2 linked regions of the Solanum lycopersicum genome follow. The protein of the gene in region 2 binds, or shares a complex with, the protein of the main gene of each other region. Links are inferred from orthologs where the notes say so. Each region holds a gene or a part of one and is shown on either strand. Other genes may lie near its edges.

What was found.
Region 1: large ribosomal subunit protein uL4c (region 2) and large ribosomal subunit protein uL3c share a complex: the UniProt entries of both Arabidopsis thaliana proteins name them as parts of the 50S ribosomal subunit. The link is inferred for Solanum lycopersicum from reciprocal best matches to the Arabidopsis thaliana genes RPL4 and AT2G43030.

What each region holds. Positions count from the first base shown.
Region 1 is NC_090805.1:36,930,121-36,934,406, forward strand, and holds large ribosomal subunit protein uL3c, read left to right. Parts: upstream 1-1,472; 5' UTR 1,473-1,680; coding exon 1,681-2,233; intron 2,234-3,482; coding exon 3,483-3,772; 3' UTR 3,773-3,852; downstream 3,853-4,286. UniProt on the Arabidopsis thaliana protein: One of the primary rRNA binding proteins, it binds directly near the 3'-end of the 23S rRNA, where it nucleates assembly of the 50S subunit.
Region 2 is NC_090806.1:67,227,635-67,231,407, forward strand, and holds large ribosomal subunit protein uL4c, read left to right. Parts: upstream 1-1,512; 5' UTR 1,513-2,003; coding exon 2,004-2,832; intron 2,833-2,905; coding exon 2,906-2,943; 3' UTR 2,944-3,132; downstream 3,133-3,773. UniProt on the Arabidopsis thaliana protein: This protein binds directly and specifically to 23S rRNA. May play a role in plastid transcriptional regulation.

The sequences.
Region 1 (4,286 bases), on a different chromosome or scaffold from region 2:
GAAGTTACTGTGATATTATTTACAAAGTACATGACATTGTTCTATTTAAATTACAAAATGAGATTAAGAAAAATATTATTATTTCCATTTTTTTTAGTTAAAAGGTTTTCAAAAGAAAAAAAAAACAAGAAAGGAATTCTTTAAAAACAATAATTTTATTAGAAAATAAAAAAAATTATGTTCATTAGAAAAGGTGTATTTTGACATAATAAAATAACAACATAGACATTTTTAGGTTTAAAATATTAGTAGTGGAGACATTTTTAGAATAAATGTTTAATCGTATGGACATTTTAATAAAATTATTAACAGAGTATATTTTTATTTGACGTGACATAGTTTAAAGCTATTTTTAATGCTTCTCAATCAAACAAATAACAAATTATAAAAAAATTAAAGATTAATAAATTAAATTAGTCAACAATAATTATTAATTAAAACTAAGTCAACTAGAATTTAAAAGAAAAAGAAATATAATCTTCAAAATATGAATTATTGAAGCTAAATTCCTTTTTTTTTTTAAAAAAAAAAGTTGTTATCCGGATTCAATCCGGGGTCTAGAAGGGGGATACAATGTACATATATACACCTATACATACATCGCGTTTTGGCCGAAGCTCGTGGATGGCGTGGCACCCCACGAGCTTAAGTAGATCCGCCCCTGTTCCAAATGTGTGAGAGAGGCATGATAAAATATGGATAAAAAATTTGAGAGAAAAAAGTCGATAATAAGATCTCTTTTTTTCTTTTCATCAGTAACAGGATAAAAAAAAGTGGGTTCAATTTGAAAAAAAAAAGGTAACTAAATTATATTATGATACCTTATAGTTAATAAAATATTGACATATTTACATTTATTAATTATTCTTAAGTATAGATCTTATAATAATTATGTTAGGAATTCTGACTAGTTTAATAATTTTCGCATAAAAAATTATATGATCTTATTCTTGCTATCTAAATAAGACAATTTTCGTATCTAAAAGATTCAAATTTGACCTCTGATTAAGGATTTTGCTCCCTAATAAAGATAAATTTATATCCAGAAGACTCGAACTCGACCTCTAATAAATGATGTAGAAGTATTTGTCACTCTTAGGAGGTATCAAATGAGCGAGTTAGGTTGAAACTGAAAATAATAAAATAAATTGAAATAAAATTTGGGTTGAGTTTTAACCAAACCAAGTTTACTTTGAGTTCAAATGAATTGGACTCAAATTTGGAATGGGTCATGGTCCTGTTCAATTTGACCTGCTTAATCTCAATAATTTCAACTTAGTAATATTTAATTTTTATAATTGTAATTTAAATTTCAACTCAAAATTATTATTTTTTTTAAAAAAAGAAACAGTTACAAATTAATAGATAAATCTTTAAAAAAATATAAAATAAATAATAATTTATACTTTCGGTATAGAAACGTCAATGCAAATAAAAAGTTATATAAAAAAATTGAAATTGATGATTAAATTAAATATTTTTTAAAAAATAGATTAAAACTTAAATGAGTTGAAATTAAATTCGATTAAAATTACGTGAGATACCGCTCCTTAATTTATATTTGGGGTCTTATAGTTTTGTGCAACCATCTCCCTCTTTCCCCATCTTGTACCGGATAAGGAAATCCTATAACAGGGCGTTTCCCCTTCCTCTTTCTCTGTCTCAGCGAACCAGTAAGCCATGTCTCTCTCTTCTTTCTCTACAATGCCCACCGCCAAGCTCCGCCTACAAACCCTACCCACTTCCACCACAGTCACACCCTTAACTCTGCACTCTCCATTTCTCCCCTCTTTCAGACTCCCAAAACATAAACCCCTTTCAATTCTCCGCATTTCAACATCTCCAGCTATCTCTGCCTCTCTTGAAGCTGGAGTCGGAATAATGGCAACCAAACTTGGAATGATGAGTTTCTTTGAAGATTCAGGAACAGTGGTGCCTGTTACTGTTGTAGGGTTTCGCGAAGGAAATATTATTACTCAAATTAAAACTGAAGCTACTGATGGATATAGTGCTGTACAAGTTGGGTATCGACGAGTTCGTGATAGAAAACTAACTAAACCTGAAATGGGTCATCTTGAAAAATCTGGGATTATTCCTCTCCGTCATTTGCAGGAGTTTCGTCTTCAGTCTGTTGATGGATTTGAAGTAACGCAGAAACTTGATTTTAATGAATTATTTAAAGAAGGTGATTTGGTTGATGTCGCTGGTACAACCATTGGAAAAGGATTTCAAGGTCTGTTTCTCTACCACTCCAATTATCCTAAAGATTGCTTTTTTCGGGTCGTTATCTAAATTTAGCCTTGTTTATCAAAGATTTGAGCTCATTTTCGATTGTTTTTAAGTATTTGGGTAAAGTTATAAAGTGCTTATAAACACTTATTTTTAAGTCAAAAATAAGCTAAAGCCATAGGTTAGAAATGGTATAACAAGGCTTTTGGTTTTTATAAAAATCCCATGCCAAACGCCAATCCAAACAGGTCCGAAGATTTCATCCCAATTTCATGAATGAAGTGTACAATTGACCTTGATTTTATGTGTTGTGATTAGTTTTTTCTTATCATCAGTGAGCTATGAATATATTGTCTTTCATATGTGAACTGTGAAATAGAGAACTCGTATTGTTAATGAATCTAGTTCAAATGGATATTCTAAATTCATATAGCTAGCTTGGGATGGAGCGCGGTTGTTGTTTAAAAGAGAACTGGCCTGTGATTTTAGTAGCGTGATACATCTGAAATATCAAGTCTTTGGTTTTGCATTACTGCACTTTGTTATGCTATTGCAATTCATTTATCCTTAAACCAGAATGTATTTGTTTGTATAATTATGATACAATGTATCACTATAGATGTAAATATGATATTTTACTTATTTGTAAGAGTACTTGAAATGCCTGTTACATGAGCTACATTAACTTTTTGGCCAAATGGTTTGTATTAATGCTTCTATTGATTTTCCTCAATAACCGCAACTTTTGTTTGTAAATACTGCAATTCCAACTGAAAATGACATTGTAATTGAACATCGTGGTAGCTCCTCTCTTCGTGTGGCATGGCTTCAGCACCTAAATAAGCTTCATTAATGGATATCTTGATATTCTGGTTAACATGACTTGCTATCATAGTGTTTAATTATGCTGGTTGATTCCACAGTGTACATTTTCAGATGTTTAAATGTGGAAGTAGGGTTTATCAACTTTTCACGTCTTAAAAGTTTATCATAACCTGAATAGTTGTTTGAAGTATCATACAGACGAGACTTCCATACAGGTGCATGTATCGACATATTGTAACTATTAAGTCAAGGTACAGGTAGTTCTTTGGTTCTCTATTGGTGGCGGTCTTGACTCTAGATATATCATTCACTTACTAGAGAAGTAATTTTTTATCTCAAATTTGATTGTCTTTACAGAAAGCAAGTTCTATCTATCATATCTTGTTTTTCGCTCTCTCATTGTTGACACTGGTGGAATTGGCTTGCAGGTGGTATCAAGAGGCATAATTTCAAGAGGGGTCAAATGACTCACGGATCAAAGAGTCATAGACAACTAGGATCAATTGGTGCTGGGACAACCCCAGGGCGTGTATACAAGGGCAAGAAGATGCCTGGACGAATGGGAGGCACCAGGACAAAGATTAGAAAGCTCAAGATCGTCAAGATTGATGATGAACTTAAGATTCTAATGATCAAAGGAGCTCTTCCTGGTAAGCCTGGAAATCTTTTGCGAATAGCTCCGGCCAAGATAGTTGGCAAAAACATCCCCAAGAACTAATTTTTGTTCCCTCTTCTTTTATCAACTCTATGAAGTGATGAAATTTTTTCTTTCAAATTATGATATTGTGTTTCAACCAATCTCTACCTTCAAGTTTTATTTGTCAGATTTCTTAGCTAAAAAACTTTACATTATCAGAAGTCTATGAAAATATCTAGTTTTGTGTCCTCCCTCTCATAACCATAAAAACACATATTCTATTCACGAATCAAAATATCAATCTGTTCAAAACCATTTATCGTATGAGACAAATTATTGATGAAAATTCACAACATATCAATTTGTAAAATAGTGTTTTTTTCATGTACTATAAACTTTAAAGTTCACCATCTCGTCTAAAGTTTGGCATTTAAAACGATTGTAGTTTAATTGGTGTTTTATTATTAGGGAATTGTATGATTTTGGCGCAAAAATATTTATTTTATAGATGACTATACTATAGTGCAAGTCATTATAATTACAAAAGAGAAAGGTAACAGCAACATTACACCACATTGAACACCAATTTATTTTT
Region 2 (3,773 bases):
TCTTTTATCTCATATTCAACATGTCAATGGCCACATATTGTAATAATGAAAATCTTGCACTTAGCAATATTGAGAACGATGTTTTCATGTCATTTCTTGAAGAACCAGAATTTGAGGCAAGTGATGAAGAGTTATTAAGAAGTGTGATTGAGTCATTAGAAGTAGAGAATATTGTTCCTAGTGTTAATACAAATGATTCAATTTTGTTTGAGCAAATGAAAGTAGAGAATTCAACTAATTTGTCTTGTGATGATCTTGGTGAACTTGAATATTGTTGGATTGATTCAGACATGGATTCTTCAACTCCTAGTGATGATGATGATATGAATATTTGGTTCAAGGATTGTTACTATGATCAAAATGGAGTTGAAGATTTCACTAACTTTGTTGGTGCATGTAGGGAGTTTTCTTGGGAAGAATCTTGTGAATCTATGCTTTATGCGCCTGATGTCTGATATTCATATTGGAGCTCAACTAATCTGGATTCACATTAGTACTGAGGGATTCATTGTTTCCTCGTAAAGGTGACTTTGTACTTTGAAAGATTCAAATCTGAAATCTCTAATTAAGGATGAAGGAGTACTTATAGATAGTCATTGAGATAGGAGTATTGATTAAGACGTTTTTCATGGCAATTGTAAATCCCATATTAGTATAAATTCTTTTTACTAAAGACCTATGAACTTTCTGTTGCTTTTAATTCAATGTGGAATAAGCATAGCTTACCTAATTTTAGGATGTAAGCTGCAGAACCTATTTTTATGGTACATTTGAAATTATTAGTTCAAAATTTAATTGAGTTTGTTAAGTTTCAACATAAGTGGAACGAGGAGAAATTGATTTCTTTATATACTCTTGAACAATCATATCTCCTCGATTTATCTTTTGAATTGAGTTAAATCTAATATGGTATTGAAGTTACGTCCATCTCACTTCATTATCATTTAATATTAGGTCTCCATTTTATATTGCTTACATTCATGATATCTGACCATGAACGTGCAAAGGAGCGTTGAGTCTTAAATTGATTGATAAGCATAAATAATCTTGAACAATTATTTCCTCTTGAGCTAGCTACGATGTTACAGTTAGATTAGATTCAAGGTTTGTTTTCTTAACCGAATTCAACATACGAGTTGGGCTTAGCGTATCATGGAAAAATTGGAAAGGGAAGGCAATATGTAGCAGGCTGCATCAATAGCGCCTCAAAATAAAAGAAAATGAAGGTTTTGGGCTTATGATGGTGTAGCCCCAACTAACAAAAGACTTGATCAAGAAAATTGTATAACTTTTATATTATATCAAAATTAATAAAAATAAAGAGCACATTTCATAAAAATTTTATTTGTCGCTTACGCTCTAAAAAATTTATTTTTTTTCCTACACAAAAGAAGATTTAATTATGTTCTTAAAGTATTGTAAATTAAATAGACATGCCCTTCAACTCTTCGTCAATAGTTTGGCTTATATATGACCTTATCATTTTGAATGTGTTATTAGTCTAAATGAAACATTTGATTAACCTCATTTGTTGATTCATAAGTGAAAAAATTATCAAATATACTCTGACAACGATAAGCATAGAAAGAATAGAATATTTGTAGACCTTATCACTATCTCGTAAAGCTAGAGAGTCTGTTACGTCGTAAAGTTGAAGAGTTCATTGGCGCAAAAGGATCGGTCCTTCACTTGCTGATCGTTCGCAAGTCGAACTCGCTCTCTTGCCACGCCTTTCACTCACTCGCTTGAGACGGACTCAATCACTCTTTGAGTTTGGAGGATTCACTCTCTTGTTATTACCCGCAGGGAGCGCATGTTTCCGCAAATATGTCCCTAAATTTATCAAATATGTGCTCAATTTCAAATACTTTGAGGGTATATATGACTTTTCCATTTTCACTAAATTTATTTGAACAAAGAATATGAATACATTTTGATATCCTTCTTCCTCATTTGTGGATAACCCAATCCATAGGCTTGCAGTTTGCTCCTTCACTGCAAAAATGGCTACTTCTTCTTCTTTATCTTTCTTTTCTTCCACCATTTTCTTCTCTAACTCCAACACCCTTCACTCCTCAAAGCAGCAGCAGCAGAAACAACTCATTTTCAAACCCAAACAACAACAATTCTCCATCCGTTCAGAGGCCGCCGCCGCCACTATTCCAATTCTGTCCTTTGATGGTACCGAAGTGGGCTCCACCACTCTCAACTTAAAATCCGCCCCTCTTGATACCGCACGCGCCGTCGTTCATCGTGGGCTTACCACTGACCTGCGCAACCAACGTCGCGGTACTGCTTCCACCCTTACCCGAGCCCAAGTACGGGGTGGTGGTATCAAACCATACCCACAAAAGAAAACGGGTCGAGCTCGACGTGGGTCGAACCGAACTCCTTTACGACCAGGTGGTGGGGTTGTGTTTGGGCCGAAACCTAAGGATTGGTCAGTTAAGATTAACAAAAAGGAAAAGAGACTCGCGATTTCTACTGCGCTTTCGAGTGCTACACAGAATGCCATTGTTGTGGAAGAGTTTGATGATAAGTTTGAGAAACCGAAGACTAAGGAGTTCATTGATTTGATGAGAAGATGGGGATTGGACCCAAAAGAGAAATCTTTGTTTTTGATGACGGAAGTTTCAGACAATGTGATTCTCTCCAGCAGAAACATTAGCACATTGAAGATGTTGACACCCAGAACTTTGAATCTTTTCGACATATTGGATTCTGAGAAGCTGGTTTTCACTAAATCAGCTGTGGAGTTCTTGAATGAACGATACGGAAATGATGATGATGATGATGATGACTGGGAGGTGGTGGACGAGGAAGAAGAAGATGGTTAGTTTTTGCTTCATTTTGGGTATGAAGTTTCCTTTCAATTTTAGCTAACTCGTTAATTTGCTGCATTCAGGTGGCGAGGTGGAGGAGAGTGCTGAAAGTTCTGAGTAATATATGAACATGGGGCGAAAAGGGTCTGTTCCATTTTAGAGGAGGCTTTACCTTACAGGGAGCTTAGTATATTTCACTTTGAATTGTATTTTATTGTATGATAAAACTAGGTGATTTTGGTTGATTTCATGTCACTGACTGCATTTGTCCATTACCTTCGTTGGAATAGTTTACTCTTGATTTTCGTTCCGCTCTCATTACCACTTTGAGTTCTTGATTTTTATGATAAGAGTGATTAGTTACTTTACTAATTAAGTCTTGTGTTCTGGCAAAACTACATTAATTGCTTAGTAGATGAAGCTTTATATAAGATTTATGGGTTACAAGTTGTCAGCCAGGCGAGATTCAGCAAAGTAAAATGATTAGGAAAGCTTTGTGTTTGAGTCTTAGGCTTGAAGCAATTAAGCAAAGTTAAGAAAAGGAAACCTTTATTTGGGTGGAAAAAGCTTCATCACCTTTTTCTTTAATACAAACACAAAGTAATTGGCAGGAAAAAATGCTCTTTACTTTGTTTTGAGTCATTGGGGGCATATGGGATGCTAAGCATTATTAACCTTGAAACAGACCATATCTAGTAGACTATCTATGGAGGCAGATAACTTGGACATTTGTACTATCAAAATATGTGATGGAGAGTATATGAGTATCTCTAGGCTTTTACTAGAACTTTTGAGTTTAAGCGCTAATTGCTACTCTGCTTTTAGCCTCAAAATAGAAGGTTTGAGAATGAATCAATGGATTGCACAAACTATCTCATTGATCAATTTTACATATTTCAAAGCCAGGCTGTTTAAAAAGCAAAAGAAGAACAAGAAAAATGAAAAATTTAC